2 linked regions of the Drosophila melanogaster genome follow. The protein of the gene in region 1 interacts with the protein of each later gene in a pairwise test. Each region holds a gene or a part of one and is shown on either strand. Other genes may lie near its edges.

The links.
Region 2: the proteins of Unc-115a (region 1) and CG2017 interact in a two-hybrid assay, tested with the Drosophila melanogaster proteins (one large-scale study listed by BioGRID).

What each region holds. Positions count from the first base shown.
Region 1 is NT_033777.3:9,698,215-9,701,970, forward strand, and holds the start of Unc-115a (uncoordinated 115a), read right to left. Parts: upstream 1,707-3,756; 5' UTR 1,415-1,706; coding exon 1,297-1,414; exon of another isoform or gene 1,218-1,296; coding exon of another isoform or gene 1,148-1,217; coding exon 837-1,147; intron 776-836; coding exon 104-775; intron 1-103.
Region 2 is NT_033777.3:5,860,735-5,864,490, reverse strand, and holds the start of CG2017 (uncharacterized protein), read left to right. Parts: upstream 1-2,085; 5' UTR 2,086-2,213; coding exon 2,214-2,321; intron 2,322-2,588; exon of another isoform or gene 2,589-2,744; intron 2,745-3,186; exon of another isoform or gene 3,187-3,501; intron 3,502-3,756.

The DNA.
Region 1 (3,756 bases):
AGTTGCAAGCTCAGCAGCCTCTTTAAACTCGGGATTGTTGTGTTGGAGTCTCGAGAATTATCTCAGTACCAGCGGTTTATCATCTGTAGATCCGACTACTTACCATCTCGCTAAGGGCACTGGAGCTCATCCGGTCGCATTCAGTGTCTGTGAAGTTGCCATTGGAGGCACCTCCGACCACCGACGAAGTGCCTCCGCCGCCGTTCAAAATTATGCCGGACTCGGAGGGACCCGGACCGCATCGCGGATGCCAGATGGCACTGCCCTGCAGGTACATCTCCTCGCCGTCGCCGAAGGGATCGCCGCACTTTGTGCAGCGGGCACAGGTCGGATGGAAGTGGTGGTTGTCGCCCGCCTGGAGCACCTTGCCGCTAATGAAGCGACTGCAGTAGGCACACTTCACCCCGAATCCCTTCTGGTAGCACTTCTCGCAGTAGGGCACCGCGTCTTTGCCCATGTACTCCCCATTGAGCACCGCCTGGCAGGCCTTGCACCGGAAACAAGAGACATGCCACTGCCGGTCCAACGCCACCAGTGCCTGGCCCTCCTTCAGCAGCTCCCCACAGCCGGCACAGTCATTGGGATCGTAGTCCTCCTTGAGGTGCGCCTTATGAGAGATCACACTGCCGTGCTGCTGGTGGGCAGTGGCTCTCGTCGGACTCTCCGCCGGAGGAGCTGGCGAGGAGACGCCTCCACCCGTCGCCTGGCGACTGGGCGACACTGGAGCACCCGTGACGCATTGCTCGCAAAGCACCTCCTTTCCGGTGTTGGTCACCTGTGAGGAGGAATATGTGATTAGTTACTTATCACTCGATCTGTGGAGGGTTTCAGCTCACCTTACTGCCCGACTTGAAGGGCTGCTTGCACTTGGAGCAGGTGAAGCACTTCTGGTGATAGGTCTTGCCCATGGTGCTGACCACCTCGCCCTCCACATACTGCTGGCAATTTGCGCACTTGGTGCCGTACAGCCGCTGATAGTCCGGTATGCAATAGTAGGCGTTGTCCTTTGTGAAGAATCCGCCGGTGGCCAGGGACTTCTTGCACTGGCAGCACTGGAAGCAGGCCTTGTGGAAGTGGTTGTCCGCCACGCGGAGCACCTCGCCGGAGCACTTCTTCGTGCATTTCGCACAGTAGATTTTTTGTTTACCTGTTTGCGGGGAAAAGGGGACGAAAACGAAGGGAGAACTACGGTTAGTAGAGCCTGACATTAAATTCATTCAATCAGTACTATCGCCAGATTACGTATACGCAGTGTTGCGCTGATGTCATATGCATGTGATGCGATAATGCCCCAACCTTGCCCCGTTTTACCGAGCTCAGTTCGAAGCTCCGTTCCCAATGTGCTAGGGTATATCGGTCTGGTCTTGTCTGTTTGTGGATGTTTCGGAATGGATATATATATTAATATATACATCACAACTTATCGTATATCGTATGTTGCGAGATTCGTTGTATGTGTGTGTGCGTTGTTTCCCCCACACTTGTGTGCCTATGTAAGCACTTGTATTGACAGTCACAACCAGGCCAACTCTTCTACACACCCCGACATGGCCGTAAGTCGTTTGTAGTCTGACTCACGGGTCTGGCAAGCCATTAATCTTATCATTGATAAGGCCAAGGGCAGATATTTTCTTTATATAAAGACAGCACACACACAAACACTGCTCGTTAATGTACACACAAGTGTGGAACAGGTTAAATAGATGTGTGACATGGAGCCCCCAGTTTTGCATATGTCCATGGGGGTAGCATGCACATGTGTACATAGTGTGAGAAATATCCCAACCAACTGCAAATAAACTGCAAGGTAGAAGCAAAGACACTAGAATAACTAGTGTCTTTGGTAGAAGATAACAAGCATTCATAAAGAATTACTTGGAATGCGAAAGGGGGACAAAACTGCCACCCTTTGAGAATCACTGAAAGTAAAGCGACTTCTGGGAAGACTCTGCCGTATTGAAACTTTAGATACGTTTGCTTTATCACCTGTTGAATCAATAATCTGACCAGACTCAGATATTTGCTATCTGATCGTTTGTATCTGGTTCAGGAGCTATATATTCTCATATATATTCTCATGAGTTGACTTACATGCCAACACATAGTGTTCCTTATTGCAAGATCAGTCATGAAGGGAACTTGGAGCTCGGAACTCGGCACCATGACGGCTGAACGCATCGAAACTAATTGTTGGCCATGACTGATGTGCTGATCTGTTCTGGCGGCTTTCTTGTCCGCCGGAGGCAGAAGTCTGCGGTTGATTAAATAGACAGCGGAACATCCCAGCCACACCACATCGGCTAAAAGCAGCCGCTTGCAGTGCATAACAAGAGTAAAGATACATATACATACATACATATGCATATGTGGATAAATGTGTGTGTATGTATATAAGAGCGACCGCATTGTATCGCGCTGTCTGAACATTTTTCACCATCTCACTGTTGTTTTTTCAGGCCTTTTGGATTTTTTTGTTTTTCCCCAATTTAGTCGGCAGTTGTGTTGCTTTTTCATATTTGGGTTGCTTCCAAAATAGAAATTATTGATAAGCCCGTAGCTCAGGTTCATGTGTGCCATTAGCTTGTTCTATAATAGTGACGTATGTCTGCGCACTAACGGTATCAGCCATTATCTTGTATTAAATTGTTTATAGCATTCTCTTAATGTTTCCTATTCATGGAGAACTAATCAAGAACATTAAATTGTGTGACTAGAATAAGAACTATTCTGACTAGACTCATTAAAAACTTTAAAAGCTTCATTTGTAAGTAGATTTAAATGTGCTAAGTGATAAGAGGAAAACTAAGAATTATATAGAATTTAGAGGGAGAGCAACGGTCTAGATGTTCTTTCCACTGTTTATTTTGAATTTAAAACCAATACTATTACTTAATATACACGATCAATCTACCAGGTTACCAACACATCTCAATATGGCGAGAATAGTACATACACAAAAATTCAAGAATGAATATTTATTTGTGCGGTGACGCCACCGAAATTTTTCACATTCGGCGGTCCAGTTGGAATGAAAGACGACCTGATAATACAAACTCAGATACAGATACACCGGCTCAGTTTCAGATACATTTACGGATACATGTGTATATTGTTCGACAGAGAGCGGGCTTTCGTCACCAACTTGGACTTCCGCCCCATAGTTTGTTTAAAGTTCGTGTACGTGCTCTGCCCGTTTTAATTAATTTCATTATGTTTCGCTGACTATCTGCCTTGTTTATTATGCAATCACACACATTTTGTTCCACAATTTGCATATTGATTTTGGCATTTTGTTTATTGACTTTCCAGCGCTTCGCCCCACCCCCACCCCCTCACTTCTATTAGCGATCACCCGCTAATTGACAAACAAAACCAGCGAAAATTACATTTTCATGCAACAGAGAGCCGGCAAAACGGCGACTTTGCCTCATCCAAGTTAGTACAATAAAAGTTTGAGCGCTCATTTTCAGTGTTGTTTTATTGTAATTGCGCAGAGCGATTTTAGTGACGATGATGTCATCGTCATCGTCGTCAATGTGGAGCTGTGGAGTTGCGCGATTGCGACTGCCAGTATGTGCCACAACTGTGGACCGCAAACAAACTGGTTGCTTTGGGCTGCTCGTATTTGAAATATGTACAAACAAACAATACGAAAATTCGGAACGAGAACATATACATATGTACATACATACGGAGTATGGTACAATAAGAAAAAAAACCCGTCCGGCTGCCAGGGGGCAAGTCCAAGGTTACAGT
Region 2 (3,756 bases), 3.8 Mb from region 1:
GAGTAGCTAAAGTACGAATATGTATATGTAATACGTGTGTCTGTGTCTCCGTTCGTTTGTAAATGTTTAAGCTAAGTGTAACCGTAGATGTACTTGTATACTATATCCTCCGACTGGTGTAGGTCGTAGCCCCTCCCAGCCCCGCGCCTCGTGGTTCAGTCTTTAATTTAAGGGGCGACCCCCAAGGTGAAACTAATCTTCCACGACCTGTACCCATTGCGAGGCCGAGTGGCTGGGAGCAGGGCTCTCCAACTCGAAACTCGTTGTTGAATCTGTTTGTCCCGGCTAAAGTGAGAAGAACACATCCCCCGGAAAACATAGCCCCTCCTGCCGCAGACGCACTATTTGAACTGCCCTCCCGCAAACGAGATCAAAGTCGGGCCGACCCGAAAAAAGGCAAAGTTATATTGGACACGTCTTGCGCCATTGCGTGCCCAGTGCTGGTCATTATTTAACTTTTAAACACGCGCCAAAAACAGCACCAGATTTGAATTTAATGGTCACAGCAGTTGCTCCCGCTCCCGCTACCGCTCCGGCTCCACTGGCATTAGCAGCGGGGCCAGCCAACAAGTGAGCAATAAAGAAAAGTTTAGAAAAATATCCCAATCCATGCTGCCGGCCGAATCACCAATCCGGAGTACCCCATCCCAAATGAATGGGTATATAGAACTGGGCACGGATTTGTGCGCACGATAGCGCAAAACGATGACAATAAATGGAAAACTTTTTAATAAGCTAATAAAATGATTTATGCGGGTCGAGCGATAAGAGGGATAAAAGGCACGGAGTTCCACTTCCAGATGGCCATTTGATGGGCCCGATTCCGGCCAATTCCGACAGACAGACACCTCATTGACGAACGCCAACCAGTTGGACCTGAGCACGCACACACACACACACATACACAACGAATGTATTCTTGAGCATTATTTATTGGATATTGAATGGGTCGGCCCAGCTCGCAGGATTGGGGCAGTTCAAGAGGGGAGCGTAGCCCCCACCCCCCCACCACCCTATCATCCCCCTTTCATTGGCAATTGTTATCAAGGCATTAGCACATCGGAAATGCTATACGACTATATCATACTCAAGACAAGGGCTAAACGACTATAAGTGTTCTAACGTTTGTCATATCAGTTGGGCGATTCAGTTCTTGACTTTCTATCGAAAAAACGTAATTGAAAAAAAGAAATGTATATGCTAAGTCATCGATAGCGATTAGTAAAATCAATGTAATGTCATAATGTTTAAATGTAAAAGTTATAGCATCCAGGTAACTGGTAGAGCAAATCGTAAACTTCCTCCAAGTTTATACATATATAGTAAAGGTCCCCGCTGTAGATAACCAAAATCGAGTGCCAGTAGTGCAATTTTAAAACGATCCCCAACAACCTGTAGCATCACGACATCCCCATGATCCATGTCGAGGTCAGCAGATACTATTTTATGAGCCTCAGAGAGGTCAACGATGTACATACATACATGCAAGCCCAAGTCCCGAAAACAGACAGACATACATACATATACACATCATTGTAACTGACTACATATGTAAAAATGCTTAAAATATTTGTGATAAAGTAATAATGTTAATGATAAGGAATAAAACGTAAATATATTAATGAGAATACATTGAGTTTGAATTAAAGCAATTCGAGTTGTATTTTCATTGCTGGGAGGCACAAGGTTTCCTAAATTCTTTTTTTAGCAATCTAAAAACGTTACCATATCTTCACTCATTTGAATGATTTTTTGATACCAATACAAAATTATTTTGTAGCAAAGCAGATGTTTTTGAGCTTGCAAGATAGCTCCATCGAGATTGGAATTAAGTTCTATGCTGGCTAATAAACTTATTTGAGTAAAATTTACCAAAACGAATTCTCAACACTAAAGTACTAAAGTAAAGTATGGAAATGTAGGACATGCAGATGACCGCCTTCGCAACCCCATTTATTGTTAAAAATACGTTACTATTTAAATTTGAAAAATGTGTGCCGTTCACAATGGACGCCCCGTCAGCCAGTGTTGGTAAGGGTGCGCAGCAACTGGATAGGTCAGTGTCCAAAAGGGACTAACGCGTGGCGAGCATAAACATCTGTTTGTCGGAGTCACAAAATGTAGGAAGTTTATGGTTTATAATAATTGATTGGATTGCTGGCGCAACTTTGGCGTCCCCGAAATTTGAAGTGTGTTGTGAGTGCTTAACCCACATGAGTGCAAAATTGCCATGGCAACGTGAATCGAACACGAACAGCAACACCCACACAGAGACCATTGAAGATCCGCGCATTGTGGCGCAGTATTGCATCAGCAACTGCGTAAGTGCAGCACATTGACTCCATTTTTGTTTTGCTGATGAAATCGCAGCGCGATTTTTGTTTCTTGTGAAATTCCGCTCTATGCTTGCCAAGCTTTTGTTTGTTGGTTGCATGAATTCGGTAAACGCGACAGTTACTTCCCGGAATTCAAACGGAAAGGAGCTTTCCGCGAAGCGTCCTCAATCAATTTCGAGATAGAGATAGAGAATAATAACGCAGCTGACGCGGTCAAAACAAAAGCGCTTGTGTAGAAAATCAAATGCGAAGCAAACGCGGCGAGGACAAGACGCGAAAAGCTGTCAAAACTACGCGCCGAAAAAGGAAAGGGTCTGGTCGATCAGAAATCCGCTACGCAACACAGATTGCGTATCTACATAAAACGTAATAATTTAATTGTGTGGGAGTTATCTCACAATTAAGAAGGTTCGTTTTTAAACTAAGTTTCCTTATTTGAACAACAATCGTAGAACTAAAGAGGTGTGTTTGAATTGTGGAAAGCCAAGCATTAATTGTTGAATAAAATTATCAAACGTCGCGGCTTCGCATCAAAATCGTGAAAAAGTTAACTTTTATAGTTCCAGTGTCGAAGGACGTAATGGCGTGTGACGTAATTAAACATTGTATATCCTGCCTTCTAATTGCAAAAATAAAGTAATTAGAATTAAAACCTATAAATTTACCATTTATCGTTAGCTTTAGTAATTAAATAGGTTCGTAATAACATCCCGCATTAAATATTTAGGTAACTTTCTTCTTGTGGAAATTCACTAAGTTAATTTTTTTAAGCTCAACCCCCACTTGCTAAACAAAAAATACGTTCCATGAAAGAACTCAAACGCCCTAGGGTAAGGTATTGCGAAAGCTTTTGAAGTATTCAGGTGCTTGTTCTTCGGTCAACAAAGCAAAACAATCGGGAGCAGGTTATAAACAAAATCGAAAGGCACCCAAAAGCGGAGAGCACAAGTACGCACACAACTACGAACTACAACTACAAAGCACAGCACTCAGAACCCAGATAGCCGAACGAACAACAAATTCGACCTGGGCAAATGAAAAGCGCAGCCAAAATCGATATTTTGTGCCAGCGTCGCGCGCAAATAGGAGCTGCTTTAGCGCTTAATATCTCGAATAAACTCGAGCGGATTGGTTTGATTAGTGAGCCAAATATAGGGATTATCTGGTAAGATGTTTGGAACTTGTCGTATTATCGACCTTCTGTTCCACCTGCCCCCGCGCGTGGGCTCGAAACAACGGCCAGAGTCGTGGCAAACATAAACAAGCATTTTCAAGGTCGCTGCAAGTCAAAGACGGCCAAAAAAACAAATGGGGAAAATTTCAGTTTTGATGGATACACATAAGCAAACGGTTCCATCAAAAAGATACATAGAAGTTGAAAAATAATTGTTTTTAAAGTGAAACAAATGACGTGGTGTCG